7 linked regions of the Oryctolagus cuniculus genome follow. The protein of the gene in region 6 interacts with the protein of the main gene of each other region in a pairwise test. Links are inferred from orthologs where the notes say so. Each region holds a gene or a part of one and is shown on either strand. Other genes may lie near its edges. The genes, in order: heterogeneous nuclear ribonucleoprotein F, QKI, HMGA1, PSMF1, ATXN1L, RBFOX2 and MAGED1.

Region 1 (4,143 bases), on a different chromosome or scaffold from region 6:
GCATAATTATATGGATACTATATGATAAATATATACTTATAAATAATTTGTGTAAGAAATCTTCAAGCTTACAATGTTTCGAAGTTTACCTTAGTTTGTAAATGAATGCTACTTTGCCAGCTCCTTGTGATCCAGGATAAATAGTGAATGTTTATGGTTCAGTTGTGATGTCTAGGGTGATCTATTATGAAAATGTATACATAGGTTTAAATGAGTGAATAATATATTTCAACTAGGAGGATACAAAAATAGCAATATATGCAGCTTGCTTTATTTTACCAAACAAGTCCATATCATAGTTTTAGTAGAAAATTTCATTAACATCTTTTTATTAAACTTTCTGTATTTGTTTAGTTTGATGAAGTCATTAATAGTGTCCAGATGAAAAGGTTGCAAATTCTTGAAATCTCTTGTATTTCTTGCTTTAAAAAGGACCTTAATTTTTGTCTATAAATACATCTGTTTTCATAAAGGTACCTGATGATTATAGTACGCCATTTGACAACTGATGACCTTATTTGATTGACCTGCTTGTCAAAATAATTTATTCTACTTGCTGAGCTAAGCCTTTCTTTGCATTTCACTCATAATCACTATCACTTACTTTAACATTTAGAGTAGGCCTTCCATTGTACTTTCATCTTTTTATCATTTTACTACTATAAAAATAATTCAATACTTTTTAACTCTTGTGACTTAGTTATTTGGTGAATAACCTTAGAAAAATTTCTGAACTTTTATGAGATCATTTTTATCACACGTGATACAGACACTAGTTAATTCTGTAGACCAGAAATGAGTATGAAAGGTCCTGTTTCAGACTTGACTTGTTGAGATAGGACCAAATGAATGGCTTTTGTAAGGTGAAATGGATACCTACGTAATCAGGAGGTAACTATATATATATATATAAAGAACATAACCAGCTTATTAAATACCATTTTAATTTAATGCCCTCTGAGTTAGGCACAGTGGTAGGTGTGGGGAGCAACTGGGAGCAACTCGGACTAGACTAAGTTACTGGAATTAAGACTTATTCTATGCATCTGCTCTCCCACAATATGGCGCTGAGAAGGGAAACAGCTTCTACACAGCTGCCTCCAGTTCAACCAATAAACTGTAGGACCTGCTCCTGATTGGAGGAGAGCAGCGTACTCGGCGTGTGGGTAGCAGAGTTGGGATTGGTGGAAGAGGACTATAAAGGAGGAGAGAGACAACATGCACCAGGAACATCTATCTGAAGGAACACCTGAGCAGCCCCCGAGAGAGCCGGCCGGCCGGCGGTGTGCCGCTCCCCCGCTGAAGTGGGGAAAGTGGCAGGGGGAACCGCCCTTCCACGGAGGTGGAAGGGTCGGTAGCCAACCCGGGAAGAACCAGCAGCAAACCCGGGGAGGGCCGAGCAGACGAAAGAACAGCGCAGGGTCCTGTGTCGTTCCTCCACGAAGACGGGGAGCGACAGTAGGCAATTCACACACATCACGTTGTTCAAATGAAGCAGGGGGATATTTGCAGATCAAATAAATGCAGAGTTCTACCTGCTGCAATAAAAATTATAGTTAACCTTTATTGAATATTTTACAATGTGCCAAGTACTGTTTTGGTGTATCTCCTTTAATTCAGTCCTCATTATAGCATTATGATTATGATTCCTATCTTACAGAGGAGGAAACTGTGGCCCATTAAATTTAAATAACTTGCTCAAGACAACAAGAGAAAAATAACACTTTTGGAACTTAGTACTATAAAAGTTAGAATAGCTTTAACTATAAATAGCTTTCAGAAATGTGTAGATGAGCCGGCACCGCGGCTCACTAGGCTAATCCTCCGCCTGGCGGCGCTGGCACACCAGGTTCTAGTCCCGGGCGGGGCGCCGGATTCTGTCCCGGTTGCCCCTCTTCCAGGCCAGCTCTCTGCTGTGGCCAGGGAGTGCAGTGGAGGATGGCCCAAGTGCTTGGGCCCTGCACCCCATGGGAGACCAGGAAAAGCACTGGCTCCTGGCTCCTGCCATCGGATCAGCGTGGTGCGCTGGCCGCAGCGCGCCAGCCGCGGCGGCCATTGGAGGGTGAACCAACGGCAAAGGAAGACCTTTCTCTCTGTCTCTCTCTCTCACTATCCACTCTGCCTGTCAAAAAAAAAAAAAAAATGTGTAGATGAGTTCATAGGCTTATAACAGGTTAATAAATGAAGTTGAGTGTGTCAACATCTTTCATTTTTAAAAATGATTTATTCCGTCGTGGAAGCAGGATTGCGCCGCGTCTTCCTGAAGAAGGTTAAGAACAAAAAGATGCACCTGGAGTTTGCCTGGAGCCCTCTGCGCGTCTAAGCTCGGGTGGGATCTGGGGTCCTTCGCTGGAAGCCGCTCTTGCAAATAGAAACCAGGCCAGCTCTCCTCAGTGGACAGTTGGTTACCTACCAGAGGTGTCTCCTACTGAAGGTATCCTTGGCGATACTCTAAGCCATAAAAAGACAACTTGCACCCAAGTTTGTCTGACATCTATCCTGTCAAGTGTCCATGATGCTGGGTCCCGAGGGAGGTGAAGGCTTTGTGGTCAAGCTCCGTGGCCTGCCCTGGTCCTGCTCTATTGAGGACGTGCAGAACTTCCTGTCCGACTGCACGATTCATGATGGGGCCGCAGGCGTTCATTTTATCTACACTAGAGAAGGCAGGCAGAGTGGTGAGGCATTTGTCGAACTTGAATCAGAAGATGATGTCAAAATGGCCCTGAAAAAAGACAGGGAAAGCATGGGGCACTGGTACATTGAGGTGTTCAAGTCTCACAGAACCGAGATGGATTGGGTGTTGAAGCACAGTGGTCCAAACAGCGCTGACACCGCTAATGATGGTTTCGTGCGGCTTCGAGGACTCCCGTTTGGATGCACAAAGGAAGAAATTGTTCAGTTTTTCTCAGGGTTGGAAATCGTGCCAAACGGGATCACTTTGCCTGTGGACCCCGAGGGCAAGATTACAGGGGAGGCCTTCGTGCAGTTTGCCTCTCAGGAGCTAGCAGAGAAGGCGCTAGGGAAGCACAAGGAGAGAATAGGGCACAGATATATTGAGGTATTTAAGAGCAGTCAGGAAGAAGTGAGGTCATACTCAGATCCTCCTCTGAAGTTCATGTCTGTTCAGCGACCCGGGCCCTATGACAGGCCTGGCACAGCCCGGAGGTATATTGGCATTGTGAAGCAGGCAGGCTTGGAGAGAATGCGGCCTGGTGCCTGCAGCGCTGGCTACGGGGGCTATGAGGAGTACAGTGGCCTCAGCGATGGCTACGGCTTCACCACTGATCTGTTCGGAAGAGACCTCAGCTACTGCCTCTCAGGAATGTACGACCACAGATACGGAGACAGCGAGTTCGCAGTGCAGAGCACCACCGGCCACTGCGTCCACATGAGAGGGCTGCCATACAAAGCGACCGAGAACGACATCTACAACTTCTTCTCTCCACTTAACGCGGTGAGAGTGCATATTGAGATCGGCCCAGATGGAAGAGTGACGGGCGAAGCTGATGTGGAGTTTGCCACCCATGAAGAAGCTGGGGCAGCGATGTCGAAAGATAGGGCCAATATGCAGCACAGATACATAGAACTCTTCTTGAATTCCACCACAGGGGCCAGCAACGGGGCCTACAGCAGCCAGGTGATGCAGGGCATGGGGGTGTCTGCGGCTCAGGCCACCTACAGTGGCCTGGAGAGCCAGTCAGTGAGCGGTTGTTATGGCGCTGGCTATAGTGGTCAGAACAGCATGGGTGGATATGATTAGTTTTGTAGAAGCATTTGAGTTAATTTCAATCAAATTTTCAGAGGCAGCCAGCAAGCAGTGAAAAAGCAGTTATTACCCTAGAGGAAGCTGTGGGACCCATTTTGCACCATGAGTTTGTGAAATCTGGATTAAAAAATTACCTCTTCAATGTTTTCTCATGCAAACTTTTCTTCTAGCATGTGATATTGAGTAAACTAAAACTATTTTCCGCTTTTCTCGATTAACATTTTAGTAGTATCCTTCCGAGTGATGTTATCTGAGTTAAAGTAGTTTAAGTATGTTAAATTGTGGATCTTTTACACCACACCACAGTGAACACCTTGGGGAGATGTACTTTTTTGGAAAACTCAAAGGTGCTAGATCCCTAATTCAAAGAGAAACAT
Region 2 (4,166 bases), on a different chromosome or scaffold from region 6:
ATTGGAGGGTGAGAACCCCGCGTTCGGGGTTCAGACGCGGCGAGCTCCGCGGGGCTCTCCCAGCCGCCAAGCCGGGTCTGCACCGCGAGCTGAGCGGACACGGTCCGCAGGCTCAGCGGCCGAACCGGGCGCCCCCGGACTCCGCGGCGGCCGCCCCGGACGAGCCCCGCTGACGGGCTCCGAGCGGCCGGACATCACCGACCCGTCGGGACCGCCGCCCCCGGCCCAGGCCCCCGGCGCCGCTCCCCGGGCCCCGCGCATTCTCGGGGTTCCGTCCCAGCAAATCGCGAGGGGCGCAGAGGACGAAGCCGACGACGGCAGTGGTCACGCGTGGCTCCGCCGGCGGCTGAGGCCGGGGCAGCGCGGCACCGGGGGCTGGGACGTTCCCGGCTGCGTTCCCACCAGAGACCCGAGGGTCTCGGCGGCGCTCAGACCGCGGCCCGCGCGCGCCCGACGGCCGCCGGTGGGGCACCGGGACGCCCCCCGCACGCCCGGAGACCCCGCGCCCGGCCCCGCCCCCACGCAGGCGCGCTCCGGGCCTCCCCTCCCCCGCCGCGCGCCCGCCGAGCTCGGCGGGGGCGGAGCGACCCCCGGGAGGGGCGTGGACGCCGGGCTCGACGCGCGCACGCGCGCTGCAGCCTCACAGCTACGTGTCGGGCCACGTGACGCCCACCCCAAAGTCCCCCGTGAAGCAACAGGACGTTAGAAAGATTTCTCTTCTGGGGGGGGGGTGGGGGTGGCGGCTGGGGGAGGCTCAGAGACTGGTTTGAAAAAACTACAGTAACGGGCGGCCCCGGCGCGTCGTGGCGCGTCCCGCCGGGATTCCTCTCGCCGGCCGCGCCCGGGCCCGCAGCGGCGGCCGCGGATCCCGCCACCCGGCCCCTCCCACCCGGCAGCCCCGCACCCGCCCCTCCCGTGGTCGCGCCCGCACCGGGCGGCCACCCCGTCCCGGCGTCCAGGCCCGCGCGCGGCCCCTCGGGCCCCGTCCCGCCGAGGGACGCGAGAGGGCGGCAGCACGGCCGCGGCCCGGGCCGAGGGGCGGCGGCGGCGGCGGCGGCGGGAGGCGGGAGCGCGCCGGCCGGGCCCCGCTAACGGCCGCCCTGCGCGGCCCCGCCCGCCGCCCGCCCCCGGCCCTCCCCGCGCCGCCGCCCCTCCCCCCGCCGCCGCCGCCGCCGCCGCCGGCAGCGCCGCCTGAACTGAGGCGAACTCCGCCGCCAAGTGAGTGAGGAGGAGGAGGAGGAGAAGGAGGAGGAGGAGGAAGAGGAGGAGCGCAGTCAGAGCGCGGCGGCAGCGGCAGAGGCGCCTCGGCGGGGACCAGCCCAGAGAGCCCCCGAGCCCGCGGCACAGCGGCGGCGGCGCTGAGCGGGCGCGACCGGCCCCGCGGACGAGCGAGCGAGCGAGCGAGCGGCGGCGGCGGCGGCGGCCCGGCTCCTCCGCGGCCGCACTCGGCCCGCCGAGACCCGCCTCCCGCCCGCCGGCCTCGGGAGGGACGCGCCGAGCCGGGCGGCGGCCGGGAGCGCGTCGGGCCCGGGCGGAAAGTGCCTGCGGGGGGCGGGCGGGCGCGCGGAGCCGGCCGCCCCGGGGCTCGGCGCGGGAGCCAGAGCGGGAGCCGGCGCGGAGCGGGACGCCGAGTCCCGAGCGGCCGGCGGCCGGGGCTCGCCCCCGCCCCTCCCTCCTCTCCGGCGGCGGCGGCGGCGGCGGCGGCGGCGGGCGGAGTGAGCTGCGGAGCCTGGAATATGGTTGGGGAAATGGAAACGAAGGAGAAGCCGAAGCCCACCCCAGATTACCTGATGCAGCTGATGAACGACAAGAAGCTCATGAGCAGCCTGCCCAACTTCTGCGGGATCTTCAACCACCTCGAGCGGCTGCTGGACGAAGGTGAGCCGCCGCCCCGGCCCCGGCCCCGGCCCCGCCGGGCGACCCCTCTTCCCGGCTCGGGATGGTGGCGAGGGCGGGAAGGTCACGGCCGGGCGGGACCGCGCGCCCGGGGGACGGGAAGCCGGGGAAGGCGCACAAAGGAGGACCGGGCCGGGCCGGGCTCGCGGCGGGCGGGCCGGGGCCGGGCGCACCCGCCGGGCAGGACGCCCCCCGCTGGGCCGGGACTCCTCTCCCCCACCCCGCTGCCGGCGGCGCGCGCGGTGGAGCGCTGGGAGAGGCTCCTGTGGCTTTGGGGGTCCCGTTTCCGAAAAGCGGAGTGGGGCTGCGCAGGCCCGGGGGCCTCCCCGACCCTCCCCGAGAGCCAGCCCGGGCCGCGCCGCCAGCCGGGCGGGCTCGCGTGTCCCTGGCCCGCCCGCTCGGCCTCGCGTCTCCCCGTGCCCGCCCGCGGGGCGCACCCCGGCCTCGGGAGGCTTGGGTGGGCTCCGCGGACGGGCGGGCCGCGCGGGGTCCCCGTGCGTCTGGAGTTTGGGTGGCCGTGTGAGTACGGGGGGGGCAGCGGCCCGAATGACAGCGGGAGCGCTCCCGTCCTTTTGTTTGGGGGAAGCGAGAACTGTTAGGGAGTTCGACTACACTTTTGGGGGGTGGAGCGCCAAGTCCCGCGATGACAGATGGGAGCGGAGTCCCGAGCCGGGCCCGGCCGCCCGCGCCGCCTCGGCCGGGGAGTCGGGGCGCCGCGCAGGGCCGGGGAGCAGCCGGGCAAAAGTTTGCGGGGCCCGGAGCTCGGCGAGCAGGTGGCCGCCGGCCGGCCGTGCGGCGCGCCGAGGGGCTCGGCCGCCCCGCGGAGCCCGTGGGACCCGCGCAAAGTCCGGGAATGCCGTGGCGAGGAGTGCGTTTTCTGCGAGCATCCCGGAGAACTGTGTGAAGAAGCGGAACGCTGTCGGCTGTGCCGGGGAGGAACAATAGGTTTCGGGATTTTCAAGAGAACTTGGAGATGTTAAAAATAGAGCCGGGGGCCGGGGCCGGGGCCCGCAGCTGGAATGTCAGTCGGGAACAAAAGGCCGGAAATGTCTGCGTGAGGAGGGACGCGCGCGCAGGAGCGCGGGCCGCTCGGGCCGCCGGCGCCGGGGTCCCCGCACACCGGGGTCCCCGCGCACCGGGGTCCCCGCGCACCGGGGCGGGACCTGGCCGCGGCCGGGGCCGAGGTCTGCTCGCCGGCTCGCTCGGGAAAGCCCGCTGTCTGTCCCTTTAAGGGGCCCTGCCTCTCCTGGTTGTGTTGGCATTTGAAAGATTGTGGAGGCAGAAAACTTTCTGGAATGTCACACACACACAAAAAATGCAGGAACTCTCAAATCGAGTATTTCCGACTGTGAGCGCTAAGGGGCGCCAGTTATTATTTATTTCTAACCAAGGAAATGTTTGGAGCAAAAATACAGTCAGGTCTGACCTGCGTTAAATTTAGTTGAAACTTAAATTCCGTATTATCGTTTTATGTAATTCTGTCCATGAATGTCTACACATATGGAATGCATTTTGTTTAAAATTATTGACATAACTATCATGGTTCCGGGATAGGACTTTCTTAATTTTCTCCTTGGAGTATTTTGGTAAAGTTATAGTAGTGTTAGTAGTAATTTCCAAAGATAGTGTTTCTTAAATGCATTTGTTAAGAAGGAATCTACGTAGTAGGTGTTAAAATGAAAATAGGCCTTGACAGTATTTTGAGTTGATTAAAATTGCGTTTTTGAAAGTTGAATTCCTTCAAACAGCATTAGGAAATTATAAAATTGGAAATATTTTTACCTCATGTGTACTATTTAAAGGCTAAGTAGTTTGAGTTTGACTAGTACTAAAAAAGTTTCCTACTTGTGCCTTTTCACTGATCTAAAATCGCTAAATAATTTGGAGTTGGATTCCTGTTAAATTTCTAACCTTTGGCCTTAGTAGTAATTAATCTTTCAAACCGAGAAATTTCTGTCGTCACTATCTCTAAAAGATTTGTTTTTTTTCTGGTTGGTAATCGTAACTGTTTTGAGTTTGGAGAGTAGAAAATCCCTAGTTTAGTTGATGATGTTCTAAAGAACTGTTTGTTTGCCCTTTAATGTGGCTTACTCCAGCTCGCTGACTAGTTTCAGCCATTCCGACTGCCCGGGGAAAGGGTGCTGCTGTGTGGTAGTGGGGGTGTTCAGAACAGACGGCATGATGTCAGGAAACTTGATTGTTTTATCAGATCAGTACAAACCTGCAGGAAGAGGGGCTATTCCTCAGTGTGGAATAAGCTGCTTCCTGTA
Region 3 (4,013 bases), on a different chromosome or scaffold from region 6:
GTTCGGAAGGGACCAGGGAAGATGAGACGGTGGCAGCTGCAGCAGCCACACACAGCGACTCTGTGTGCATCTGGCGGGGCTCAAGCCTCAAGGACCACCACTCACACAGCCAGGGCTGGTGCCCACCCACCAGGTCTCTGCCCTGTCCCAGGGGAAATCCTTGAGGACTCCAAAGATGGGGACAACTGAGGGAGGAAGATGGTGGAGCCTGCAGCGGGCGGGGTGCGAGGAAAGCCTGCTGGGGGTCTGATTAGCACCCCCCTCCCCCCGCACACACCACGATGAGTTCACCTATCCCTCCTGGAGCAGGCAGCATGGGCCAGCCCGGTCAGCAGCCCCAAGTGGACCTGGAAGCCTGCAGCCACCACCCCCTGCCTGCCCCGCCCCTCCGTCTGTGAAATGCAGGCAATGCTAAGACACCTGTCTCCACTGCCTCCCCACACGGCTTTGGGGCTCCAACTCAGAACAGTTTATAAAAAAACTGAAGCCTCAGAAACCTTCTATCGGTAAATGACTTCTCTTCCTCCTTTGAGAGATTCTGAGGCAATTTCCAATTTTAACCCAGGAAAGAAAAAACATTTTTGCAAACTTGCGATTTTTTTTGAGGACCCAAGGCCCCCACCCCTCAAGCACAGAGCCCCTCCAGACGGCGGGACTTTGTCTGGTAATTACCCTATTTTATATCTCAGACTGGGAGACCCTTGCAAACAAGGTGGTTGATTTAGCCTGCTCCGTCATTAGTGGCTTGGCCTGCTCTGTAATTACAGCCAGTGATTAGAATCTTATATTACACCACAGGCCCCCTTCAAACTAAACATCAAAATTAATCAGCTAAATGAGTGCTGACCTCACATAAGGTCTGCCCAGGGCCCCCTCGCAGGGGGGGTTCCAGTTGGGCGAAGCTGGCCCGGAGTCCCCCGAACCTCTGATGGCATGGGGTGGGTGCCTGCCTCCCCCCTACCCCACCCGGCCAGGCCCCCACGAAGTCCTGAGGCTCTCTCTAGGGAGGCCAAGAAACGTTGGTCTCTATGCCACCTGTTCGCGAACATCAACGAGGCCTGGCCTGGAGCAGCCACGTTTCGGGGCCAACCCCAATCCCTCAGCTTGTAGGAAGCCCACTCGGGTCCCAGGCTCCTCCAGCGCTTAAAGGCCCTGCAGGAATGACCCCAGTACCTCATCTTAGCAGTCCCTTTTATTCTGCATAAAGGAAAAAATAAAAAAGTAGCCCAGAGAAGCCTGATGAGTTTTCCAAGGTCACACAGCAAACTGGCGACCCTCCCAGCCCACCGGTGTGCTCTCCCAGCTAGCGGCTGGTGAAGACCCTGTCGGCCCTTGCTCCAGACCCAGGCGGCGTCTGCAAGTGCCTGCGCCGGGCCGTTGTGGGCAGACCGGCGGGAGTCGGGGCCAGAGCGCGAGGGGGAGGGGCGCAGGCCGTCCCTGCAGGCGCGGGAAACGAGCGCACCCCGGCCGCATGCACCGCCACGCGGGTGCACCCGGCCCCACTTCCTGCCAGAGGGGGCACCCAAGCCCGCCCCGGGGCAGGAGACCTGGCGCGCGCTGGCGGGGGACAGGAAGAAAGCCCCCTCTCTGCGCCCGCCCCGCCAAATAAAACCCCAGGAAAACAGAAACGGGGAGTCCAGGGGACTAGTTCCAACAGAGCCCAGCAAAGCAGAGAAACCAGTTTGTGGGGGCGGAGGGCAGGCCCGGCCCTGGGGGCTGAGGAGGCGCAGCTCGGGCCAGAGGTGGGGTCGGGGTGAAGCCCCAAATCCAGGCCGGGCAGCCGGCTCGTCCCGCGCAGGGGGCGAGAGCCCAATCTCGGGGTTCCCGCCCATCCCCCTCACTTCCAGAACTTCGTGCGGCTGCGGGGGGCGTCCGAGCCCCCGCACGCCCGCCGCAGCCCGGCCTCCTCCCCGCCCCCCACCCCCGGCCCCGGCGGGAGCGGCCGCCGCGCGAGGTGCACCGGGCTCCGCCGGGTGCACAACTCGCGCTCGCCGCAGCCGCGCGCCCCCTCCCCCACCGCGCGCTTGCCTTCCCAGGGTCCCCGCCCCCCCCCCGCAGGGCGCCCGCGGCGCGGGGGAAGGGGTGCGGGCGTCCTCCCCGCGCCGCCGGGCCCCGCCGCCCGCCCCCGCGCCGCGCGGCCCTCCCCCGCCGCCGGCTCGCGCCGCCCCGGCCTGGGAATAAAGCCGGCGGCGCGCGCTGCAGCCCCGGGCGGGGGCGCGGGCGCCCCCCTCGGCCGCCGCCGCCGCGGGCCGCGGGGACGACTCACCGCGAGCTCGGCCGCCGGCCTGCGGTGCGCGCTCCGGGGCTGCCGGGAGCGACGGTGCTGGGCGCTGAGGACCGGCCTGGCTCCGCCGCCGCCGCTGGTAGCAAATGCGGATCTGAAACCGGGAGAGAGGGCAGAGGCGCTCAGAGCCCGCCGCCGCCGCGTGCTCGCCGCCCAGGCCCCCGCGGGGTATTTATATGTCACATCCAGCCGGGGGTGGGGGGGTGGGCAGGAGTCTCCCCCCTCCCCCGAAGGATGGCGAGGGGCAGGAAGCCGGGCACGGCCCGTGCGCGGCCTCAATAAATAAATAATTTAATTAAATTATAGATATATTTAAAAAAAAAAAAAAAGCAGCCACCGGAGCGGCCGCGAACTCACGCCTTCTTGGAGCCGCGCCAGCGCCAGAAATAGCCCCGGCTCGGAGTCCCAATTAGAGGAGCGCAGCCCCGGCTCAGGGGAGCTTAAAAAGAGCGACCCAGGGGCAGGGGGGACGGGCCCGCCCGCGCCAGCCGTGTCACCGGGGGGCGGGGCCATGCAAATGAGCCCGGGGATTTAAAAGGGCGGCCGCCCGCCAGCCGCCGCCGCCGCCGCCGCGCGGGTGGGTGCTAGGCTGCTGTGGGGGTGCGCCCAGTCACGATCCACTCCCCACAGTCCTAGGGGGAGCAGGGCGCCGAGCAATCTCGAAGGGGCTTCTGGCGTCGGGGCGGGGGGCGGGGGCGTCCTCACCGTCTGGAACCGGAGTCCCGGGACAGTCACCTCTAGGGGCGCTCCGGGCGTGTGCGCCCCGCCGTGGGGGGTGTGGGTGGGCCTTCGTGCCCGCGGGGGTCCACGCGGCCGGAGTGGGGCAGAGAAACGCGGGTGTGGGAGACTTCCGCGGCCTACGCGCCGCCCCTTTCCCTTACACCGACGGCCTGCGGATTTCTCCAGGCCGACAGGTGTGTCAGCATGTGCGTTTCAGTGACATCCCGCGCGTGACTGGCGGGTGGGGTACCGTCTTGTGAAATGCAAGGTGTTTAGATTTTGTTAACGGCCACACGCGAAGCATGACCAAGGTCCAGCCTTCGAGCGAGACACAACTGGCTCGCTCGCGGGCTGGACCCGAGCGGGGCGTCACTCCCTTTGGCGCCCTCCGGCCGTTTTGGAAGCACGCGGTCCCGCAGTGGCCCCCAGATTTCTCATCTGCCGTGGTTTAAAAAAAAAAAAAACAACAACAACAAAGGGTTGGGCCGGCGACGCCTGGAAGCGCTTTGCGGGCAGGGTCTGAGCTGACGCGCGCCGTCCGGGCCCGCCGCGCCGGGCTCCACCGGGACTTGTTGCGCTGAACGAGGAGGAAGCCAGAGCGGGAAGATGGCGGTGGGGGAAGAGAGGGCAGGGTCGGAGAGGGGAGGCGCGCCCTGCAGGCCGGGCCGCGGCCCTGTCGGGCGCACCTCCCGCGCCCGGTCCCCGAGGCGGCCTTCCACACCTCCTGTGAGGCAGGGAATTGTAATGCGGCCCAGTGACACACGGCAGTGACTCATGTTTTTCTTTGCTCCCCTTCTTCCTCCCTGGTCAGCGAGGCCCAGGCCCAGCCCCCTCCTCAGGGGGCGCGCGGAGGGGCGGGGGCGGGGGTGGGGGGGCGCGAGGAAAACCCGGAGCCCGCAGTGGGGGCGGGGTGGGGAGCCCGAGGGGCCGGGCCTCCAAGTTTCAGGAATGTTTCAGGAATGTTTCCGGTGGGGGAGGGGGCCGGCCCCCACCCCGGGGCCGCGGGGGG
Region 4 (3,500 bases), about 86 Mb from region 6:
TGAGTAAAAGCACTGACCGGACTTCAAGAAATGATAGAAATCACGAAGGAGAGAGGCAAAGAAATGACTGAAATTCGGTAGTGGGTCAGGAGTTTTGGCTCTGAGGGCAGAGCCAAGGCTTCTGGGAGAAGCGGCTTCAACCCTTTGTCATCTGCCAAACGGGCTGATGGAAAAAATGGAACTCCCTCGCATAGTTGTTGAAGGAGCTATGCAAAGGTTTTGGTACAGGATGCAGCTCACAATAAACACTTATAAAGGTTATCCCAGGAGCCAGACTGTGGGTTTCCAGAACCATCCAGGCCACTCGCTGGACGGCTGCGTTGCTTCGGTCAAATGGTCCCTCTGTGCCTCGGCTTCCTCGTCTGTGAGATGATTATAACACTAATACCAACTACCTAGGATTGTTCAGTAAGTGAACACAAGTAAAGCGTCTAGGCACGGCACGGCACACGAGCTAACAGTTACTGCGACTATTCCTGGGCCATATTCTCTAGCTTCTTCTGCACTCGAGCACTCCCCCATTTGCGGATAGGGAGACTGTGACTCACAGGGAAGCGTTCCCTCCTCAGGGTCGCAACGCCATGGCTGTAGCAGACCCTGAGGGCTGTGGAGGGGCTCAGGAGACTCTGGCTTTGAAGCGCCGCTTCCTGCACGCGCGCTCCCTGGAGGAACCATTCAGCATCGCGCTAGCGTTTCCCGTCCGGCGCGCCTTGCGCCGCTGCGCCGGCGCTTGCAGTTACTTCCGGCAGCTGCGTCCCACCCCTGGGCGTCTCCATTTTGGCGCTGGTGGAGTCCCGGGCAGAGCTACGGAAAAGCGGAGCCGAGGTAGAGCTCGTCGCGGGGCCACGCCAACTCACTGCACTCTCCCCGTTCCCTCCTCTCCCCGCAGAAGCTGCGGACGCTCATGGCGGGCTTGGAAGTACTATTCGCCTCGGTGGCGCCGGTCATCACCTGCACACAGGACGCGCTCATCTGTTTCCTGCACTGGGAGGTGGTGACCCACGGCTACTACGGCGTGGGTGCCAGCGACCAGGTACGCCGCGGAGCCCGCCGGGGTGGAGTGGGAGCCGTCCTCTGTCCGGAGGCCCAGGGCCCGATCCAGAGCCCCTGACCTCCCCCCTCCCCGGGGCATGGCAAAGCTGTGCCAGCCCAGCCCGGCGCCCCTCCTAACAGCTGGTGCGACATTGATTTGTAAACTGAAGGACAGCAACTCGTTTCAGCACAGCCCGGCAGTCTCCCAGACCTGGAGTGTACGGGCCTCGCACCGAGACAGAGGGGCCGCCCCCCAGGGTTCTTCTCACCCACCTGCTCCCCTCTGTGAACTCCTTACCACGGAGCTGCGAGGTGGGGCGCGTGGGACAGCACACCCAGTACTGGCCCGCGCCAGGCATCCGGATCCAAGCACAAGTACGGGCGTGAGCTTTGCCCTTTCTGCACCCCTGGGCAGGGGCCCAGAGTGCGCACCCGCCCTTCATCCTTTGCTGAAGGACCCAGGCCCGTCCACTTGCCACTGCCCCCTGCAGCTCAGCCTCTGCCTCAGGGAAACCCCTCCACACACACACACCCCTTGGTGTGAGAATTGGGTAAGAGTGCCTCCCAACATGGCCAGCCCCTTCTGCCTCTTCAAAGCCGGAGGCCTGGCCCCTTCTGCCTTGTCATTTCCTGGCTCCTCCATCTGGAAGGCCTGCAGCCACACTCCACTCACTCCTCTCCTAAGCAGCTCTGGGCACTGAGAGCCCCAGGCCCGCCCCTCCCTGTCAGGGTCCTGTCCCTGTCGCACCCAGGAGCGACTCTGAGGAGCAGGCCACCCCACACCTTAGATCTTGTGGTGGGATTTCTTCCTTCCTTTCATTTCTAACTTTAGTTCTGGAGTCCTCTAATCCTTTTGTAGTTTCTCAGATTCTCGTCACAGTCTAACTAATTTTCCTCTGCTGACACAGCTTTAGGGTTCCCTCCAACTGGCTTTATGCATTGTGCACACTTAGCCAGCTTATGCTCCTAACCCCTGCCAGTGCTGTCCCCATTCTTCTCTACCCCTTGTGACCAAAGCCTAAAACTACTATACCCACTCCTGCCTTGCCTCCATCAGCGAGAATCAACAACCGGCGTGCCTTTCTGGCTCCTGGTTTTCAGGCCTCAGGTCTCTCACTGGGGCCCCTGGGACACACTCAGCATCCCCATGCCCACTTCCAGGTTCACACAGACCCCGTCCTCACGCGGGCTCTAAGACTGGAGATGAGACTGGAAGAGAAGGGCCGGCCTCACTCTCACACACAGAGCAGAAGCCGTCTCTTCCCAAACGCACCCATCCCTGCTCTGTCCCATCACACTGCACTTTTTTCCACTCACCGTGCCTTTCAGCATCTTAGACGTTGGGACCAGCTGGAGACAGCCCCCTCCCCCAAGTGTCAGGCTCCCCTTCACGCCTGGTTCCCCAACACAAACACCGTCTCTACTTGCCCCACTCTGGCTTTCTGATCTTTGCCAGCCCTTTCACTGGCCCCGGAAAGTTCTCCCAGAGAGCTAGTGTGGAGGCTGGTGCACGGGGCGCTGGGGTTGTAGAGTGACTTGGTTTTGACTTTGATGTTCCCCATCGGTCCTTGGCTCCCCCTGCCCTTTGCCCTGTCCATCAGAAGAAATAGGTCTGCCCTGCCCTTAGCCCTCTCCAGAGACCTTACTCCTTCCTCACGCCCAGCTGGCTGCTTCCACTCTGCCACACTCTCAGAACCCCAGGCCCTCCTCCGGGGACTGTGTAGAAGTACCTGCCACAGGTACGCATCAGTGCTGCAGGCCCGCCCCCGCCGCCCATCCCCTCGCATTTCCTCAGCACCCATCTCACTTTGACAGTTTATATAAATGGGTTTGTTCACACAGGAGAGTGCTTCTTTCCAGTTGTCATCTTCCTCTTGCCCTCCACCCCAGGCCCCCAGAATTGTAGGTAAAATGTGCAGAAAGAATATAATCTCGTTTTTAATATTGTTTTCCTGAAAATAAATATCCTTGACCAATTCCCAAAGGTCCATGTAATTCTCTTTTCCTGGTACTATGTGCTGTGGGGCTCCGCAGGCCAGAAAAAGATGTGACAACTTTGGGGAGGCCAAGGAGCCTGGGGGATGGGGGTTTTGGAAGGCCTCGCCTACTGTCCCCCATCCCCCCATGGGTGTTTAGGTGACAGACTAGACTGTGGTGTAGTTTTGCTGCGTTTGGCCTTTTCTCAAGCACCACGAGGCTCAGTTGCGCTGATCTCTCCATTCTGCCACGTCTGCTCTCGTTTGGAGCAGAAGCTGTTGGAGAGGCATCGTTGCTGTTAGTTTATTAAAGAGCAGGTTTAATTTTCTAGCCTGGGGCCAGCACACTGGGCTGAGACCGGTAGTGTGTGCCAGGTTCAGAGGATGTTTGTGTTGCCTCCAGCTACCTCCTGCTCCCCACCCTTCTGGGGGTGATAAGAGGGGAAGAAGGTCCCAAGAGCTTGTTCTTGACTATGTGTCAGCAGTTAAATA
Region 5 (4,190 bases), on a different chromosome or scaffold from region 6:
TATTTGTATCTTACTAATTTTTAAATATCTAAGATATTATTCTTATAAAAATTCAAACAATAACTTAAGTTGTTTTTGAACGTCTTCCAATTTGGGATTTTTTTTTAATGAAGAAAGGATAACTAGTTATGTATCTTCCCCTCTTGTATATCTATTTATTTACATATACATAAATATATGCAACTCTTTTAACATTAAATAAATGATTCACAATATTGGCTTTTGTTTTCCCTTAACAAGATGATAAGTTCTTCTATCTAGATCTTACTCCTATTCTTTTTGCAGTAGTGGAAACTGAGGCTTAATGTGGTAAAAATGCAGATAGCCACATATTAGGGACCAGAAACTAGCCAGTACTTTTTTTTTCCCCAGCAGTATTTTGTTTGTTTAAACGTTTGTTTATTCTCATCTAGTTGAAAGGTAGAGCAACACAGAGATTGAGAGGGAGAGAGAGAGAGAGAGCGCTTCCATCTGTTAGTTCATTCCCTCAAATGCCCACAACAGCCAGTACTGGACCAGACCAAGGCCACGAGCCAGGAACTCCATCCAGGTCCCCCAAGTGGTTGGCTGGGGGCCTTGCACTTGAGCCACCACCTGCTGCTTCCTGGGATGCATTAGCTGAAAGTTGGGTCAGAAGCAACGCAGCCAGGAGCCAAACTGGAATTTTAATATGGGATGCAGGTGCCTGGGTCACAACGCCTGCCTCCGCCACTAATTATAAAATTGAACAAAGATTAATTGTTATCTATTGAACAGAGTTTGTCTCTCCAATAGTCAAAAATTTCTTAGTTCGTTTTCAGAAAATATTAATAGCTACTTAAAAAATTACAGCAGTAATCCAAACACAAATACAACCACTTTCGTTTTCATTTAAGTGATAGGCTCATGTTACTATGAAATCTACTACTTCGGAATGAATGGGAATCTAAGATTTCGTCGAGTAGTCAAACCTTCCCACTCAGTCAAGTTATTTCCCACTGTACTAACCCCATTCTTCTTACTCCTCACAAACGTTCAAGTCTGGGATCGCCTCGCTTTCCTGGACTGGGTCACTCAGGGATTCCCCGAGGTTCCCAAGGGGAGGCTTCACTAGGCAGGACCGAAAGTCCAGGAAATGGGGGTCACTGATGGCCACGCCCCAGTCGTTGTTTTTGGGAACCCCCCAGTATTTACTGGGGTGTAAAGATCGCGGGGTTATTGTGGGGTCAGGGAGTGGGGTCAGAGCACAGCCCTATTCACAGGTCCCAGGGGTTGGAATCTGTTTTCCCACCAGATGGGAGAGTAGCAGCGATGTGCGATTGAACAGCGGTACCCACCCCACCCTGCCGGGAGACCACTGCGTCGCTCTCTGGCCCGCGCCGTGACGTAATTTTTCTGCGCCGGGGGCGGGACGCGCTGACGCCATCTCCGGGCGCCCGGCTGGGGGGGGCGCTGGGTGTGGGGCGGCTCCGGGGCCGGGGATGGCGGCGGCCGCGGGTGCGGCGGCTCCGGGACGAGCGGGAGGAGCCCTGGGAGCGCTGTGAGATGGGCCGGTGAGTGTCGCCAGGAGTGGTGGCCGCCAGGCTGGCCTCCCTGAGGTCAGGCAGGCCTAGGTTCGGAGCTCCAGAGGAAGTGGCCCCTAGCAGCCCGTTGCCTCACCGGGCCGGGGCCGAGCACAGCGGACAGAGTTAGCGAAGAGGCCGCGCCTAGACCCCCGCCCGCTTCTCTACGGCACAGCCTGGAAGGCGGAGCCCCCCCGGCTGTACCTCCGCGGGCCAGAGTTGTCCGAGTCTGCGGGGCGGGAAGGGGGCCGCCAAACAAGGAAGCGTCGCCTGCGTGGCCTCGCCCCTGCAACCTTGCTTGAAGGGTCGACCTCCACTCTGTAAACGCAGAATTCCCGATCTGGTGCCCTACTCGTGTTGGAGCATGGATTGCGGGATCGCGGGAAGACATATCCCCTCGTTTCTTCCAAGCTTCTCCCATTCTGTCGGGCTCACCTCTTGCCCTCTGCGAATTCGGGACTCTGGCTGGGTTCAGCCTCTGGATTTCCAAAAAGCGTGATGAGGGGCTTCGTTCCCAGCTCTCCTAACTGCTTTGGCAGCCCTGCGGAACGGTCCTCCTTGCCCGGTAGCTCAGTCGGGGTGACAAGCTTGTCTTCCCCTTGAGAAATCCTTTGAGCCATCAGAGGCCAAGGTTTCAGATTCTGAAATGTGTCCTGCGTCGTGCAGCCCCGGCGCACAGACTTTTTATTTATCCTTCCCGCAAACCTTTTGCCTCTCATTTTTTAAAATTTGTGCTTGCTAACCCCTCGTGACCTAAAAGCAGGTTTTCTTGAACGTTTTAGTTGGAGAGAGCAAGGGTCATTCTGAGATTTAAAGATGTGACCCCAGTTTGTATGGGGAAAAGATGGGAAAAAGCGAAGTGCTCTTCAGTTACTGAAGCTGCCGGCAGAGAAGGGTGCATGACTTGTGCCCACGGTGTATTGTGGGATTGGGGATTTGGTTCTCTCCCATGGTTCCCCATCTTGCCACTCTTTTGTATGCCAGCGCCGTGCCAGTCTTTAGACAGAAATGTTGCCTTCCGTTTGGGTCGAGGCTTGCAGGGTTCTGTAGCAGCTGGACAGGACAGTGGGTAGTTTCTGAGAATTCATCTGTACTGCTTTCTCTGTTCCGCGGGCTTCAGTGCTGTACCTTTTCTGGCGAGTGTGCATTCACAGATGGGTAGCTCAGTGGTAGTTTTGTTTCCCCCTTGTTAGCTGCATGAGGATCAAGGTGATGTTTTCAGTTTCCATCACACCTGATTCATCACTTGGTGTAACGTTGTCACACAGAAAATTTACACACACACACACACGAGCCCATTTTTTAAAAATCTGAAAATTTGTTAATAAGGCTTTCCCCTTGAGTGACTCCCCCTTGACCTCTTTTTCTGCCCCAGAAACAAAATTCTTTTTCTACTGGTGCATCTTTTCTCAGTTAAATAACCATCAAATCTGTTTTTATAGATCCCGAGTAAAGGTAAAGTCCGTGGAATTGGTTTTCCTTGCTGCCCATTGTTAACATTGGAACAATGTTAAGTCTCCTGCGTTTAACTGAACTTTGGATTGGAAGTAAATTTAACCTTCGGATAGTAGGCACAAGCAGGGAATAAAGAATATAATGTTAAGGGAAAACAGTGAGGTTTGACAGATGGGCATTTTTTTCCCAGAGACGTCATTAGAGTTTATGAGATGGCCTTTTTTCTATTCAGCTGCCCTGGCTCTCTGGATAAATTGTTGCTACCTCTGGAGAAGAGGATGAGAGGAGAGCTCATTGTGACTTTCATGTCTTTGTGGCATTGGAATGACCTTTCAGTGATGACGCTGGAGAGGCTCAGAGGTCAGGCTTCTGCTTATTCCATCTCTCTTTCGTCTTCTAGGCTCCCAAGCCACCCGGGAGGACACTCATTACAGCTGCTCAGAAGCACCAGGGGGAGCTCAGGTAATCCAGGCACTTTGGATTCCTTGTTGCAGAAAAACATCTGGGATGCCACAATGGAAAAACAACAGAATGTAGTATCACAGAAAGCTCTTTTCAAAGCCAAAGAATGGGAGCCTGATTGGAATAATTAGGTGACAAAGTTCATGTGCATTGAAGTGTTCAGACCAAAAAGATGCTTTTGGATAGTGGATAGAAGCGTTTGTGAAAGGTGACAGTAAGAGGAAGGCAAGAGAACTTTGTTATGAAACCTATAGACCTAGGATAGAAAGAAACAGGCATATTTGGAGGAGTGGAACCAGAATTTTATGAAGTGGGCCCTAGAGCAGGTCTGCAATGGAAAAGGAGCCATTGGCAAAAGAGAACACAGAGGAACAAAGGGAGTGAATAAAGAAGGCAGATTGAAGGTGTTCAGTGAGAAGAAAATAATTTTTGTTAGACCAGGGGAAGGGAAGTCTATGTGAAGTCATAACAGTTTTGTTGCTACTTGGGGAGGAGGAGAAACAAGTTGTAGACTAAACTAGTATAATCACTCTTCCCATTTTGCCCAAGTTAGAATGCAGTATTTCATGGGGCAAAGAAGATACTATGTTTCATAGCATGTTTAGGGAGCAAGGCTTTGGAAAAAAAAAAAAAAAAGACAAGAAAACCTCAGGCCTTACTGACACCCAGGTCCTTGAGGACCTGGAGATATCAGGCAAAGGAGGACAAGAGGTGAGCCAGGCTTGGGTGGAA
Region 6 (3,986 bases):
CTGGGACTGGCATTGTGGCAGGGCTGGTTAAGCTGCTAGTGACGCCAGCATCCCATATTTGGTTTGAGTCCCTGCTGCTCTGCTTCTGAGCTCCCTATTAATGTGCTGGGAAAGCAGCAGATGGTGGCCCAAGTATTTGGACCCCTGCTATCCATGTGGGAGACCCAGGTCTCCTGGCTTTGTCCTGGCCCAGCCCTGGCTACTGTGGCCACTTGGGGGAGTGAACCAGTGGAGGGAAGCTCTCTCTGTCACTGTGCCTTTCAAATCAATCAATCAATCATAAAAATTGCCGAATTTTACAAATGATCGAGCTGAGGTTCAAAGGGATGAAGTAACTTGTGTAAACTAGATAGCAAGTCCAAGGCTAGCATCTAGGTCATACACACATCATTTTATTCCTGGGACTTCATCTACAGGGCACATCATGGGGTGAGAGAGAAAACTCATTGTACACATCTCCAGCCACACAAAGTTGATAAGCAATGAAGTGCCATTCATGCCGCAAGGTGCTAAGAAAGTGAATCGCGAATATGACCCGGCGGCCTGCGATCTGGATCTGCCACCTTGGAGACCACGGTCTCCATCTACCCACCAGCCTCAAAACGGGTGTGCACGCACTATGCAAACCTTAGAGCTCTTACACGCATCGGAGATAATTAAGATCACCAGCGATATAATAATTACGATTAGAGCGGAAGCTCTCAGAATTGCAGAGCGCCACGCAGGAGCGGCTCCGACCCTAGACTCGAGATCCCATTCTTCTATGGGAGGCCCCACCCCTAAGCAGAAAGAAGGCGGCTGGACAAGCGAACCGAGGACACAACTCCGAACAACTAGTCCAGCAAACCGGAGCTGCTTCCCAGCCCTCAGGCCTGCCCCAGGCCGACGCCCCGCCCCCAGAGGCGGCAGGCCCCGCCCCCGCCGCGCCGCGCCTCCAGGCCGATCCCGCGCCGGGGCCGGAGATTCCCGAGTGTCCCCGAGCTCTTCCCGGCCTCCCTCGGGCGGCGGGCGCGGAGGCCGCGGAGATTGCCGAGGGGCGCTGGCCACGCCCCTTCGGCGGGCTCGCCGCCGCCGCCGCCGCCGCCGCCGCCCCCTCGCCTCAGCCTCCCGCGCGGGCGGGAGTCGTCCATCCCGGTCCCTCCTTCCCTCTTTCTCTCTCCCCGCCTTCCCGGCGCTGCCACAGTGGCGGGTCGGAGGATCCCGGCCAGTCAGCTCGTCCCAGCCTCGCGCCCCTCCTCTCCCCCCCCCAAATAAACAGCCCTCCCCACGCCTCGGGAGCCGGACCGCCCCCTTCCTCCCTCGGCCGGCGTGCGGTGAGGGAGAGTGCGAGCGGCCGAGCGCGGGCCAGCGGCCGAGCTCCGGGGGCGCCAGAGGCGGCGCGGCGCGGCGGGCCGGCCGGGCGTCGCGTGTGCGTGCCGGGGCGCGAGCGAGGGCCCGTCGCGAGCCGCCGGCGGCCCCACGCCGACGACCCCGAGGAGCGGCGGGCGCGAGCCAGCCGCGGAGGGGCGCCGGGCCCGCGCGCGCGCACGCACGCACGCACGCGGGGGGCGGGGGCAGGCGCGCACCCGCCTGTCGCGACAGTCGGGGCCGAGGCCCAGGGGGAGGTGGCCTGTCGCAGGTCGCCCGGCTCCCGGAGGCGAGGGGGGCGCGGGCGGATGGCGGAAGGCGCCCAGCCGCAGCAGCCGTCTCAGCTCGGGCCCGGCGCCACTGCCCGGGGCATGAAGCGGGAGTCGGAGCTGGAGCTGCCGGTGCCCGGAGCGGGAGGAGACGGAGCCGAACCCGGCCTGAGCAAGCGGCCGCGCACCGAGGAGGCGGCGGCCGACGGCGGCGGCGGGATGCAGGTGACCGCGCGGCTCGGGGCGCCCCGTTATCGCGGGGGTGCGGAACGTGCCTGGCGGGGGGGGCGGCCCGGGCTCCGGGGCTTGGAGAGGGGGAGGGCTCCGCGGGGTCCCGGGGGGAGGTGGGCAGGGGCGGGCCGGGGCCTTCTTGGAAGCTGGGGCGAGCTCGGGTACGGCAGGATCCCGGGGTGCTCGGGAGGGTCCTGCGTCGATGAGGCTTTTGGGGGGAGTCGACCCTGGGCGGGTTGGAGTCCACGTCTTCAAACCCTGCCTTGGCTTCCGAGGGTGGAGTGGAAGCTGGGAAGTCCTGGGTGTGGGGTTGGCCCGGAGAGCCGCGGGGCTGAGTGGGGGGCGAGGGGGCCGTGGTGGGAGCCTCTCGAGGAGGAGGAGTGCCTTTTTGGCGGCCCTCGCACACCCTGGGCTGGGGTAGGGGAGCGGCGTGTGGACGAGAGAAGCGAAAAGCGAAGAAACTCCTCGAGAGAGCCCAAAGGGGATGTGGCTTGGGTTGTGGGTTCAATCAGTTCCCCAGTGAGTGGGAGGCGCGGGGAGACCGCGGGGTGGCGTGGGCACTGGGGTGCTCAGCCTCTTCACTTTGCGGCTCGTGCGGTTGAGTTTGAAGAGAGACACGGGACAGGTCTCTCCTGTACTTAACATGGTTAGGGCACCGTATAGCTCTCTCTTCATTGTCCTGGGGTATCAAAGGGAATTTATGGGCTTCTTAGAAGCCTGGATTCTGGCTTGTGGACCCAAGGATAAGCGGGCCGATTTGAGTCGTGAGTGGGAGAGGTGTGGATGGCGCCAGCTGAGTTTGGTAGGTTTTAGGATTTGGTCTCTGTTCGGGCATGCTTGCTATGAACAGGTGAGTGGGACTGGCCTGCCACCCGTTATTTTGACATCTGATTCTCTTGGAATCATAGAACGTTAGGAGGAGAGGGACCAGAGGTGACATCTTTTCCAGGGGCTGTTAACCTGGATAGACTTGGAAGATTTTTAAGCAGAATAGTTGATATGCACTTTTTGCTGGAGGAGAATCAGTGGTTTTTTTTTTTTGGTGGGTATTGAAGCCCCTGCATGTTTTTAACTACCTCGTTTTATAGAGGGGGAGTCGCAGTCCCAGGACGACCATCTGCCTGCCTCTCGCCCAGTAGCGGCCGGGAGTCTAGAACCAGCAGTGTGGCCTTCTGATTCCTGTTCCTGGGCTGTCTCCATTCCACCAACTCTTGGAAATCTCTGCTGTGCTAGAAGACTTCCTGTGCTCCCTCCCTGCTCGGCGAGGCTCTGCCTGACTTCCTGTGTTGGAGCCCGAGCTCTGCTTAAGCCCGGTGTGCGTGCCCTGCACCTCTCCCTGTCCGTTGTGGAGTCTGTCCTGTTACCAATGTTGGTTTGGGTAACGTGACCCTCTTGCTGTTTATTTTTGAATTCTTTTCTTTGCCTGCTTCCATTCTCCATTAGAACTCTGGCAAGGAGGAGTAAAACTCATGGCCATGGAAAATAGAGAGGCATACCAGGAGACTTCAGGTGCGGGTGGGTTGCCACTGGATGGAAGGAGGGAAGACTGGGCGAGGTGCTGTTAGTGTGTGCCTGTGCTCTGTGTGTGTGTGTGTGTTCAGTCGTAGTTGGCACGGTTGGACCTGGGGTCCATTATTTGCTTGTTGCCTTCAAACCAAGAGCAGTGGTATTTGGGTATAGAGCAGCGTCTGGGGACTTCGCGGGGTGGGGGTGTGCAGAGGAAGGCGTGGATGAGTGTGGGTGCAGATGGGCAACCTGGAACTGGCACGGAGAATACTCTTCTCACTTTATACATTGGCAGGTTGGAGGTCTGGCACACCGTGGCACGCCGGTGTTCCGGTCATTGATTCTGCCAGACTGCTGTATGGGTTTAGGGAAACCTCTTATTTTGGGGCTTTTGTTTCCCTGCTTGTGCAATAAAGTATTTGTACAAGGTGATTTCTGGAAACATGTAAGTCAGATTCCCTGTCCTTAAGGTACGCACAGTTAAGGTGTGGAGACAAATTGGTGAAAGAAACTGTGTGTGTGTGTGTCTATAAATTCAGTGTTCCTTTACTCTTGTAACTAATCTTTATTGAACAGCTGTTGCATGCCTGTCAGGTTTCTTTTTTCTTTTTTTTTTTTTTTTTGAGATTTATG
Region 7 (3,496 bases), on a different chromosome or scaffold from region 6:
AAAGACATTTTGTGCTCTTTCAGATACCTGGACTACAGACGAGTGCCCAACAGCAACCCTCCTGAGTATGAGTTCCTCTGGGGCCTCCGTTCCTATCATGAGACTAGCAAGATGAAAGTGCTGAGATTCATTGCAGAGGTAATGGAGGAACTGCTCTAGAATTGATAGGTCAAGAGATGAGGTATCAGTGGTTGGGAGAGGCCAAGAACAGGAATGAGATCCTCGTATGGCACATGGTAGGTGCTGCATTACTGGTGATAATTTATTGTTGTTTTTATATAAGCAATAACAAAAAATAGGGGGCTTAATATGTATTAGGTGCTTAATACAATGGTATTTCAAAAATGGGTGGAAGATGGAATTAAAATATGTTTGTTTTGGTGCAGAAAGGTTTTGAATACCATGTATAACGAGGGATCTTCAAAAAGTTCATGAAAAATGAGAATTACAGAAAAACTGGATTTAAAAAATTTTTACCAAAATTAACTTACCTCTCTTTAAAAATGCTTCTTTATTTATTATTTCCATGTACTTGAAAGACAGAGTGAAAAAAAGAGAGATCTTCCATCTACTGGTTCACTCCCTTAATGCCCACAACAGCCAGGGCTGGGTCATGCCAAGGCTGGAAGCCAGAAGCCGCGTCTGACTCTCTTATGTGGGTGTCTGGAGCCCATACACTTGAACCATCATCTGCTGCTTCCAGGATGCATTAGCAGAAAGTTGGTTCAGGGCTTCCTAAGTGATGGCTTAACTCACTAAGCCACAGCTTTTGCCCCTAAAGTTATCACTCTCTTTTTAAAAGACTTTATTTGAAAGGTAGAGTGACAGAAAGGGGGAGAGAGAGAGAGAGAGAATATTTCCTGTCTGCTGGTTCATTATCCTAAGAGCTGCAACAGTGAGACCTGGGCTAGGCTGACACTAGGAGCCAGGAACTCCATCCAGGTCTTCTACAAGGGTGGCAGGGGCCCAGGAACTTGGACCATCTTTATTGTCTTCCAGGCACGTTAGCAGGGAGCTGGATTGGACTCAAATCAGCACTCTGATATCAGATACTGGCATCACAAGTGGTGGCTTAACCTGCTGTGCCAGAATGCCAGCACCTAAACTTATCTTTCTCTTTTTTTTTGTTTGAAAGTCAGAGTTACACACAGAGAGAGGAAGAGACAGAGAGATTTTCCATCCACTGGTTCACTCCCCAAATGGCTGCAGTGGCCAGGGCTGGGCCAGGCTGAAGCCAGGAGTCAAGAGCTTCTTCCAGGTCTCCCATGTGGGTGCAGGGGCTCAAGCACTTGGACTGTCTTTCACTGCTTTCCCAGGCACATTAGCAGGGAGCTAGATTGGAAGTCCAGCATCTGGATCTTGAATAAGCAGCCATATGGGATGCTGGCATTGCAGGCAGCAACTTTACCTGCTACACCACAATGCTGCCCCCTAAACTTACCTCTTAATTCCATTTTTTCATGAGCATTTTTAAATACCCTCGTATATATTAACTAATACTGTTAAGGGTTGGATTTTTAATATTTTTATTCATTAATTTTCCAACTTTATTACAGTTTTGTTGACATAATGTATATAATGTACAACATTATCTTTAAGTGTTTTTTTGTTTTTTTTCACTTAATCAAATTTAACATTTTTGGAATACAAGGTGGTATTTTGGTAATTTTTATAGATTATGGAGTATGTGTATGTAATATGTGTACATTATGTAATGATTAAATGAAGCTGATTAGCTGTCCAGATCACATACTTAGCATTTTTATGATGACAAGATTTAAAATGTACTCAGCAATTTTCAAGTATGCAATACATTGTCATTAACTATAGTAATCATGTGTTAGACATTATTCATCCTAAGTTAAATTTTGCATGTTTTAACCAGTGTCTCCTTCTTCCAGTCTCCCCACCTCCACAATCTCTGGTGACTGTTACACTTTGTGCTTTTAAGAGTTCGGTTCTTTCAGATTCTACCTATAAGTGAGATCGTGCAGTATTTGCCTTTTTGTATCTTATTTCACTTTAACATAATGGCCTCTAGGTTCATCCATGCTGCCACAAATAGCAGGATTTCTTCCTTTTAAAGGCTGTATAGTATTATCTTTTAAATATACACCTTCATTATCAAGTCATCCATTGATGGACGCTTAGGTTGATTCTGTATCTTAGTCATTGTAAATAGGTGTGATTCTGTTTTCTGTTCCTCATCTCAGGTTCAGAAAAGAGACCCTCGTGACTGGACTGCACAGTTTATGGAGGCCGCAGATGAGGCCTTGGATGCTTTGGATGCTGCTGCAGCTGAGGCCGAAGCCCGGGCTGAAGCAAGAACCCGCATGGGGATTGGAGATGAAGCTGTATCTGGGCCCTGGAGCTGGGATGACATTGAATTTGAGCTGCTGACCTGGGATGAGGAAGGAGATTTTGGAGATCCCTGGTCCAGGATTCCATTTACTTTCTGGGCCAGATACCACCAGAATGCCCGCTCCAGATTTCCTCAAACCTTTGCTGGCCCCATCATTGGTCCTGGTGGCACAGCCAGTGCCAACTTTGCTGCCAATTTTGGTGCCATTGGATTCTTCTGGGTTGAATAAACTGTTTGGTAGGTATTTCTCTTTTTGAATTGATAGAGTCCTTGGGGGTTATAATTATGTGCATGAGCTAGGAGTCAGGAAATTTGTGATGAGGAAATGAGGGAATTGTAGGGCAGCACTATTTGGCATTTATATTCCTTATTATTTGAGATACATATCATTGATTTTTCCACTTTTTCTTTCTTATATTCACAGATATTGCTCATCGGTTGCAATAGTCTTTCCCCTGAATTGAGGCTGAAGTCTCAGATTCCTTCTAAAACACAGCTATCTAGAGAGCCACATCCTGTTGACTGAAAGTGGCATGCAAGATAAATTTATTTGCTGTTCCTTGTCTATTGCTTTTTTTCCTTGTGTGCTGTCAAGTTTTGGTATCAGAAATAAACATTGAAATTGCAAAGTGAATTAGATGTGCTCCCCCTTTTTCTTTCTGTGTTTGGGGAGAGATCAGCATATTTAATGAGAGAGGTGGAACCTTAGTTATAGCCTGAAGGGTGGATCAGATTTCAGCAGAGATGTGGGTAGATCAAGCTAATGGATTGGGGAAAAAAAGAGGAATTAATGAAGTGTTAATAAGGCCTACAAATTAGTGTAGTTTTTCAGTGAGCATCATTTAAGTGAATCATATGATAGATATGTTGCTGAATGTCCTGAAGTAACACTGAGAGAAATCATAAAATGAAGGGATGTCTAGGTGGTCAGAAGGCTTGATTTAAGACAAGACAGAGGAGGTAGAACTAACTACATGTGATAAGGTGTAAGGAATGGATAGTTGAAGAGGAGAGATGGCTGTTCCTGGAGAATGAAGGGTCAGGGGCCTGGGATTCTGGACTGTTGATTTTACTGTGGAAAATGAAAAAACTTCAGGTTGGAAGCAAGAGTAGGTGCCAAAGTCTGTTCTGTGA

What was found.
Region 1: the proteins of RBFOX2 (region 6) and heterogeneous nuclear ribonucleoprotein F interact in binary tests that used the Homo sapiens proteins (3 or more experiments, as listed by UniProt). The link is inferred for Oryctolagus cuniculus from reciprocal best matches to the Homo sapiens genes RBFOX2 and HNRNPF.
Region 2: the proteins of RBFOX2 (region 6) and QKI interact in binary tests that used the Homo sapiens proteins (3 or more experiments, as listed by UniProt). The link is inferred for Oryctolagus cuniculus from reciprocal best matches to the Homo sapiens genes RBFOX2 and QKI.
Region 3: the proteins of RBFOX2 (region 6) and HMGA1 interact in a two-hybrid assay, tested with the Homo sapiens proteins (2 studies listed by BioGRID and IntAct, with this or other methods). The link is inferred for Oryctolagus cuniculus from reciprocal best matches to the Homo sapiens genes RBFOX2 and HMGA1.
Region 4: the proteins of RBFOX2 (region 6) and PSMF1 interact in a two-hybrid assay, tested with the Homo sapiens proteins (2 studies listed by BioGRID and IntAct). The two-hybrid records come from large-scale screens. The link is inferred for Oryctolagus cuniculus from reciprocal best matches to the Homo sapiens genes RBFOX2 and PSMF1.
Region 5: the proteins of RBFOX2 (region 6) and ATXN1L interact in binary tests that used the Homo sapiens proteins (3 or more experiments, as listed by UniProt). The link is inferred for Oryctolagus cuniculus from reciprocal best matches to the Homo sapiens genes RBFOX2 and ATXN1L.
Region 7: the proteins of RBFOX2 (region 6) and MAGED1 interact in binary tests that used the Homo sapiens proteins (3 or more experiments, as listed by UniProt). The two-hybrid records come from large-scale screens. The link is inferred for Oryctolagus cuniculus from reciprocal best matches to the Homo sapiens genes RBFOX2 and MAGED1.

The regions. Positions count from the first base shown.
Region 1 is NC_091446.1:59,592,951-59,597,093, reverse strand, and holds the start of heterogeneous nuclear ribonucleoprotein F, read left to right. Parts: upstream 1-1,343; 5' UTR 1,344-2,512; coding exon 2,513-3,760; 3' UTR 3,761-4,143.
Region 2 is NC_091436.1:5,326,196-5,330,361, reverse strand, and holds the start of QKI (KH domain-containing RNA-binding protein QKI), read left to right. Parts: upstream 1-1,366; 5' UTR 1,367-1,736; coding exon 1,737-1,878; intron 1,879-4,166. UniProt on the Homo sapiens protein: RNA reader protein, which recognizes and binds specific RNAs, thereby regulating RNA metabolic processes, such as pre-mRNA splicing, circular RNA (circRNA) formation, mRNA export, mRNA stability and/or translation.
Region 3 is NC_091436.1:135,099,464-135,103,476, forward strand, and holds the start of HMGA1 (high mobility group protein HMG-I/HMG-Y), read right to left. Parts: upstream 2,801-4,013; 5' UTR 2,642-2,800; intron 2,379-2,641; 5' UTR 2,267-2,378; intron 1-2,266. UniProt on the Homo sapiens protein: HMG-I/Y bind preferentially to the minor groove of A+T rich regions in double-stranded DNA. It is suggested that these proteins could function in nucleosome phasing and in the 3'-end processing of mRNA transcripts.
Region 4 is NC_091442.1:27,071,565-27,075,064, forward strand, and holds part of PSMF1 (proteasome inhibitor PI31 subunit), read left to right. Parts: intron 1-548; exon of another isoform or gene 549-889; 5' UTR 890-904; coding exon 905-1,033; intron 1,034-3,500. UniProt on the Homo sapiens protein: Plays an important role in control of proteasome function. Inhibits the hydrolysis of protein and peptide substrates by the 20S proteasome. Also inhibits the activation of the proteasome by the proteasome regulatory proteins PA700 and PA28.
Region 5 is NC_091449.1:55,391,938-55,396,127, reverse strand, and holds the start of ATXN1L (ataxin-1-like), read left to right. Parts: upstream 1-1,390; 5' UTR 1,391-1,532; intron 1,533-3,396; 5' UTR 3,397-3,458; intron 3,459-4,190. UniProt on the Homo sapiens protein: Chromatin-binding factor that repress Notch signaling in the absence of Notch intracellular domain by acting as a CBF1 corepressor. Binds to the HEY promoter and might assist, along with NCOR2, RBPJ-mediated repression.
Region 6 is NC_091442.1:113,493,836-113,497,821, reverse strand, and holds the start of RBFOX2 (RNA binding protein fox-1 homolog 2), read left to right. Parts: upstream 1-1,186; 5' UTR 1,187-1,655; coding exon 1,656-1,841; intron 1,842-3,986. UniProt on the Homo sapiens protein: RNA-binding protein that regulates alternative splicing events by binding to 5'-UGCAUGU-3' elements. Prevents binding of U2AF2 to the 3'-splice site.
Region 7 is NC_091453.1:36,330,556-36,334,051, forward strand, and holds the end of MAGED1 (melanoma-associated antigen D1), read left to right. Parts: intron 1-23; coding exon 24-138; intron 139-2,213; coding exon 2,214-2,591; 3' UTR 2,592-2,599; intron 2,600-2,786; 3' UTR 2,787-2,996; downstream 2,997-3,496. UniProt on the Homo sapiens protein: Involved in the apoptotic response after nerve growth factor (NGF) binding in neuronal cells. Inhibits cell cycle progression, and facilitates NGFR-mediated apoptosis. May act as a regulator of the function of DLX family members.